2 linked regions of the Oryctolagus cuniculus genome follow. Each later gene encodes a partner of the first gene's protein in a complex. Links are inferred from orthologs where the notes say so. Each region holds a gene or a part of one and is shown on either strand. Other genes may lie near its edges.

Evidence for each region.
Region 2: POLR2K (region 1) and GTF2H5 share a complex: the UniProt entries of both Homo sapiens proteins name them as parts of the TBP-based Pol II pre-initiation complex. The link is inferred for Oryctolagus cuniculus from reciprocal best matches to the Homo sapiens genes POLR2K and GTF2H5.

What each region holds. Positions count from the first base shown.
Region 1 is NC_091437.1:125,592,380-125,596,697, reverse strand, and holds POLR2K (DNA-directed RNA polymerases I, II, and III subunit RPABC4), read right to left. Parts: upstream 2,970-4,318; 5' UTR 2,267-2,969; intron 1,672-2,266; 5' UTR 1,663-1,671; coding exon 1,602-1,662; intron 1,307-1,601; coding exon 1,214-1,306; exon of another isoform or gene 1,183-1,213; intron 588-1,182; coding exon 565-587; 3' UTR 234-564; downstream 1-233. UniProt on the Homo sapiens protein: DNA-dependent RNA polymerase catalyzes the transcription of DNA into RNA using the four ribonucleoside triphosphates as substrates.
Region 2 is NC_091436.1:9,572,408-9,575,346, reverse strand, and holds the end of GTF2H5 (general transcription factor IIH subunit 5), read left to right. Parts: intron 1-1,902; coding exon 1,903-2,083; 3' UTR 2,084-2,283; downstream 2,284-2,939. UniProt on the Homo sapiens protein: Component of the general transcription and DNA repair factor IIH (TFIIH) core complex, which is involved in general and transcription-coupled nucleotide excision repair (NER) of damaged DNA and, when complexed to CAK, in RNA transcription by RNA polymerase II.

The sequences.
Region 1 (4,318 bases):
TTCAAATAAATCTTAAAAAAAAAAAAAAAAAAAGCAACCATTAAACCATTTCCCTTTCCTCATCCAAGGTTTGAAAAATACTCATACAGTATACAGAAAGGCCTATTACTTACCACAGGACATGTAGTATATGAAAAACTGAACTTAAAATGACATACGTATGCTGACAGCAAACACACTGCTACATTCTGTACCAAAGACACTGGAAATTTCACAAACATCTCATGACACAGTGATTTCCAAGGAATTTATTTAATTAGACTTTCAGAGGGCTCTAAAAATCTGCATTTTTCACAAAGACCCCAGATGATTCTAGGTTCTGCTTGCAAGCATAGTTTAAGAAAGTAATTTTAACCTTCATTTGTGTCACATTACATAAACAATAAAATTAAATTATAAGTCATGTAATCTAACTTCTTTACATTAAAAGATACCTAAATACAATATGGTTCAAAATGAAATCATACGTAGTTCAAAAAGATGCTAAACCAAAAGCCATACAACAATGAGAAACATTAACAGCAAATGCAAGTACAAATGAAGATATTCCTCTGAATGCACATTTCAACGCGCATCAAAGACCACCACTGTATTCATCTGAGTTAAGGAAAAAAAAAATGTAGTTGAAAATTACAGAAAAAGACTGAAGACTTCCAAATCACTTTACATGTGCAACAAGCTAGTTTGTTAATTTAAAATGCACAAAGACCTGGAATTCACTATTTATTACAACAACTAGATATAAAGTAAATAAAAGCTTTCAATTTTTATTAGCACTTTTCCCAACCAATGAAAAAAAACCCAATGTATCAAAAAGCACTGAATGCTAAAGGTAATAACTTGTGATTTTAAAAAAGTTATGTTAGAAAATTACAACTCACTCTCAGTGTTTAGTCTCATGTGTTGGCTCCACTTTTTCCTACTAAGTAGCATACACAATATTTGTATTACTCCTTGTATAATTTATTTGTCAAGCTGAACAATCAGTTCTTATGTAAATACAGAATCTCTGGAAAATAAACTTATGAGAATCAAAATCAACTAGTATTTCAATTATTTAGTGCTTCAGTTCTTGTCTATGAAAAATGCTAATAATATCTCTTTAATTAATCCAAAGTTCTTACGGTTTCTACCAGAAGTAGTGTCTATCAACCCCTGCATCACTCTACAGTTGGCTCCTACCTCAGATTTTAAAAGTAGAGTTAAAGGATACATCTTTTTGTCCTTTTCTTGTACATTATTCTGTATCCACATTCTCTGCATCTGATTGGATCCCTGGATTTTATTTCATTTTCAGTGTGACATTCTAGGGAGAAAAAAAAAAAAAAGGCTTACTCAAATTTAAAAGGAAAACAGTGCAGACAGGCAAATTATCTTAACCATATCAGGCAAGGGTATGATATTACAAAATATACTAAATGGGAAAGAAGAGAGTTGTGGGCAATGCTGTTTTTCCAGAGCAAATAAGAGTTTTAAGTGGTGCTACGAGGCGCTCCTTTATAACTTTAAACACCAATGACTCATTCATTCAAAGGATAAATGTAATAATTTCAAAAACAAATTAAGCAAAATACTCTTACTTTATGTAGCGTTATCCTTACCTCCACAAATATATATCATTGGCTGCTGCTTTGGGGGCTGAACGTCTTTCTGGGCGTCCATTGTCAGTCCCTGCAAACACAGAATCAAATCCTCAGTATTTCAAAGGGGTTCCTCACAAACCCGAACAGCCCTCCCTCCCCTTGTTTTTTCAGGAAAAACTGAAAGAGATCCCAGTTCCCCCTCATCTGCGCTCTTCTCCGTGCCTGGGAGTTAGGTCTAAGGGGCAAACCACACAGACACACACAAGTACTGAGAGTCGACCCCAAACTGGGCACGACAGAAAATGATCCGCATTTTGTTCCTTCATTATAATCTTCACAACAACCCTCAAGTGTCACTCCTGTTTTATACACGAAGAAAGCGAGGCTGAGAGATACTAGTTTGCGCAGGCAAAAGGATTCAGATTCGGCTCAAAACTCGAGTTCTCATCTAACACATGAATATCCCTCCAAAACGGAACAGACTAACCGCCGGGAAGAATACTAAAATAATTCCCAATGGCTAAACAGCTCAACTAAAAGAAACCAGGCAAAGCACTGACGGCACCAACTCCTCCACCAGCATCTCCTGACTCTAACCTCGCACTGGACCTTCTTAGCCCCCAAGTGTCTTTCTGGTTTGGCTCAAATACCCACACCTAAACCCCAGCCCCATAACTCCTTACCTGCGTAGAACGGAGAAACTCCGCATCTGCTCCCAACACGCAGTGTCGCTGTCAACTTCCGGCGCTGGCTTGTGACGCAAGACGAGCACCGCCCCTTCCGCCCCGGCCCGGCCCGGAAACCGAGTTTGCGCAAGACTCTAAAACTAGTTTCTTGCTCGCAACGGACTCTGTGGACATCAAGCACATTTTTTAACACTTAGCTATTCTCATTTTTCAGGAAAGAAAATCATTTTAACAGTTCTTCAAAGGAAGTTTGTATTTCTGACTCGTGAGATTGGCGGAAATGAACGCTTTTCCGGAAGGACCGAGACTAAGAGGGACGGAGGTGACAAGTGCCGGTGGAATCCTGAACGCGCCGTTCCTCTGATGACTTAGACTCGGTTAACCAGTGATTTTTTTTTTTTTTTTTTTTGTTACCCCGTAGAAAAGCACATTCTAGGCTGTTTTCAGGTTGTTGGGTACCTGTGCTGGGGCTGTGTGCCAGCCGCCTCCCGTCCTTGTCATGCTTGATCGTGTTTTTGCTCTCCAGCCCTTTGCTTCTCCCTCGCCTCCACGCCTGTTACTCGTTTTACAGTGCAGGCGCACCTGCGGGGCAGCGCCCTCGACACCTCGCACTTAAAGCTAAAGGATTTTGGTAGCTTTAGCGGTTCACTGGCCCTCCCTTGGTCCCATGTATTCCTAGGAGAAAAAAAAAAAAAAAAAAAAAAGACGTGCTTGTGGGAGTTGCATTCTTTCAAAGAATATTCAGTGGCATAAATGCCGATTAGATTCGAACATTTACATTCATTTACTTCTTTCACAAAAGATATTTTACTTAGAATAGAAGCAGAGCTAAGAAAATGAAATTATTACAACTTTATAGAAATAATTAAAGATTTATTTATTTGAAAGTCAGAGTTACACAGAGAGAGGAGAGGCAGAACCAGAGAGAGAGGGGACTTCCATCTGATGGTTCACTCTCCAATTCGCAGCAACGGCCGGAGCTGCCCGATCTTAAGCCAGGAGCCAGGAGCTTCTTCCTGGTCTCCCATGTGGGTGCAGGGGCCCAAGGACTTGGGCCATCCTCCACTGCTTTCCCGGGCCATAGCAGAGAGCTGGATCAGAAGAGGAGCAGCCAGGACTAGAACCGGCGCCCACATGGGCTGCTGGCGCTTCAGGCCGGGGGTTAACCTGCTGCGCCACGGCTCTGGCCCCAGAAATAATTGTTAACAGTTATTATAAAGTTAATTGTAGAAGCAGGCTTGCTTCCCCCACATGCACTGTGTCTTTGGTATCTTATTAAGTAGGACTCCATCCATCAACTTGAGAACTTTAGCTTCACCTTTCATTTCCAGAAGTTAAAACTGTGTGGTTGCATCTCCACAAACCAACTTGAGACATTCAACTGGGATTTCCCTGTCTTTCCAGGGGGCAGGAGTTTGGCCTAGCCCAGCTCCACTTCTCAATTCCAGCTTCCTGCTGATGGCCGTCCTGGGAGGCAGCAGTTTCTGGCTCAAGTACTTGATTCCCTCCCACCCACATGGGAGAACTGGATTAAGTGACTGGCTCCTGATTTCAACCAGGGCTGTTGTGTGCATTTGGGGAGCGAGCCAGCTGATTCACTCTCTGCCTCTGTGCCTCTGTAATAAAATAATAGTATTAGGGCCAGCATTGCAGTGTGGCAGGTAGGGCCACTGCCTGTGACATCAGCATCCCATATGGGCAGTGGTTCAAGTCTCAACTACTTCTCTTCCAATCCCACTCCCTGCTAGTATGCCTGGGAAGGCAGCAGAGGATGGCCAACTGTTTGGGCCCCTGCACACACGTGTCAGATCCAGAGGAGGCTCCTGACTCCTGGCTTTGGTCTGGCCAAGTCCTGGCCAGTGAGGCCATTTGGGGAGTGAACCAGTGGATGGAAGACACCTCTCTCTCTCTCTCTCTCTCTGCCTTTCAAATAAATAAACATTTTTAAATGGAGATTTTCACATAAAAAATCAAATATTTTTGGGGAAACAGCAATTTCCTGCTTCTTCCTCCACAAACATGCTAACACAGCATACATATGACCATCAC
Region 2 (2,939 bases), on another chromosome or scaffold:
CTTGAATTTTACTCTTCACTGTTGAACTCCAGAATTTCACATCCAACTTCTTACTCAGCTTTTTCCCCTTGGTGGCAGTAGACATCTCAAATACGACATGCTTATAACCAAACTCTTGGATTTGAGTTTGTTTGTTAAGATTTTATTTATTTGAGAGGCAGAGTTACAGAGAGAGCAGTCTTCCATCCATTGGCTCCATCCTCAAATGACCACAATGGCCAGAGCTGGGCTGATCTGAAGCCAAGAGCTTCTTCTAGGTCTCCCACATGGGTGCAGGGGCCCATGCACTTGGCCCATTTTCCACTGCTTTCCCAGGCACATTAGCAGGGAACTGCGGTGGAAATGGAGCAGCCGGGACTCAAACCAGCATCTGTATGGATGCCGGCACTGCAGGCGGAGGCTTGTGCCGCAGCACCAGCCCCCAACAAACTCCTGGTCTTAACTGCAAACCTTTTCTGCCCACATTTCTCCCCTCTCAGTAAAAGACAACTCCATCCTCACATTTGTTCACACCAAAATCTCAGCGTCTCCTTGATTCCTGCCTTTCAAAGCTCAGCCAAGTGTTGGCTTTACATCAGTATACTAGAATTCAGTCTCCACTCATACAGCCAAGTCCACATCATTATCATGTCTTACCTGGATCACTGCAGCCACCAGTTGGTCTCCCTGTTAACACCTGGCCCCGCCACTCTGTCTTTTCTTACCCAGCAGTCAGCAGGATCCCTGCATTTTAAAGTCTTCAGTTTGGAAGTTAAATCATGTCACTCCGTGAACTACCTCCAAGCCTGTACTCATCTAGCGGTTGAAATAACCCCTTATGTTGTTAACTTCACTCAGTATCAGTGTTTTCACTTGAAAGAAAGAAAGCTGATTTTTTTATTTTCAGAGAATTACACTGTTATCTTTACAATTGATATTGACATTCCTTGGAACATCAAAAGATTGTGTTTCCTCTGAGAATTATAAAAATCTGTGTTTGAAGTGTATGTTCTTTTGCTAAGCACCCTACTGTGAGACATGGGCTTTTAATCTATATTGCCCACCAAGAGGGAGATATCTCTTTGTCTTGGAACTACTGTGTTCGTTCAGAGTAAGAACCACAAGAAAATAGAATTGAATGGAGATCTCTTTGAGCCTTCAAAGACTCTGAGGGATAGTTCATACGAAGGTCACACAAGTTTGTCGTGAAGGAGCTGAATTCACATCTGACTCTTGCCATACGCCATTAGCTTACTAGAGTGTCCATTTAGCCAGTTTTATCACTGGCAAGATACTAAACAACTATTGGTTTTTTAAATGTAATGGTCCTGCGGAAGTAAGGAAATTCATTTTTAATTCAATTAAAGAAGCTATGATTCTAGGCCTTATTAACTACAAAGCTTTTGAATATTCTTTTACCTTTTTTTTTAAATTTTCTTTTAAAATATATTTAACTTATTTGTAAGGCAGAGTAACAGGGAAGAAAAGACTGAGAAATCTTCATCCCCTGGTGTGTCCCCAAGTGGCTGCAACAGCTAGATCTGGGTCAGGCCCAAGCCAGGAGCCAGGAACTCCATTCTAGTCTCCCACATGGGTGGCACGGGCCCAAGTACTTGGGCTGTCCTCACTGCCTTCCCAGGCACATTAGCAATAAGCTGCGTCAGAAGCAGGGCAGCCAGGACTCGAACTAGCTCTATGATAGCGGATGCCACCCTGACCATGGTCTCTCTCTCAAACTTGCACTAAGAGTTCTAAAATAAGGCTGTGTCTAAATCCTTAACATTTGAGGTAGAGAGAAGTGAGGGATTAATAGTTCAGAATTTTAAAAATCATCCCAAGACTTAACATGTACCCAAATTTAATTTCTCAGTCTCTGCGGTGTGATTTGACAAGATATCTTACAACGTGTGTTTATCTCTGCAGCGATCCTGCCATGAAGCAGTTTCTGCTGTACTTGGATGAATCCAATGCCCTAGGGAAGAAGTTCATCATTCAAGACATTGATGACACCCATGTCTTCGTAATAGCAGAGTTGGTTAACGTCCTCCAGGAGCGAGTAGGTGAATTAATGGACCAAAATGCCTTTTCTCTTACCCAGAAGTGAAAATAAAGATACTGACCACTTGGGAATTGCAAGCAACAATGTGAAAGACTGTCCCCACCCAGTGTTTTCCGTGTTTTATGTGACTGAGCAGACATGAGGCAAATGCTGCAGAAAAGACCATGGGATCATTTATTCAGGAAAACACCCTGAGCTGATTTGTTTTACACTAAAATTAAAAAAACAAAAACGAAATCCTCTAACAGTTGTCTGTGATTTGATTTTTATTGTCCTTTATTAAAAGATTGTGGGGGGGCCAGTCCTGTGGCACAGTGGGTTAATCTTCTGCCTGTGGCGCCGGCATCCCGTATGGGCACTGGTTCTAGTCCCAGCTGCCCCTCTTCTGATCCAGCTCTCTGCTATGGCCTGGGAAAGCAGTGGAGGATGGCCTGGATGCTTGGCCCCTGCACCCCATGGGAGACCGGGAGGAGGCACCTGGTTCCTGGATTCGGATCGGCACAGCTCTGGTTGTTGTGGCCATCTGGGGAGTGAGCCAACGGAAGGAAGACCTTTCTCTCTGTTTCTCCCTCTCACTGTCTGTAACTCTGCCTCTCAAATAAATAAATAAAATCTTTTAAAAAAATACAAATGTAGGGGCTGGTGTTACACAGATTATGCTTGGAATGCCTGTATCTCCTACTGGAGAGCCTGGGATCAAGTCCTGCCTCTACTTCTTCCTATCCAGCTTCCTGCTAATGAGCCTGGAAGGCAGCAGATGATAGCCACGCCCAGGGTTCCTGCCATCCACTTGAGAGACTCCTGGAGCTCCTGGCTTGGCCCGGCCAGCCCCAGCTCTTTGGAGCATTTGGGGAGTAAACCTGCAAATGGTAGATCTCTTCCCCCTCACCCCCGCCTCTCA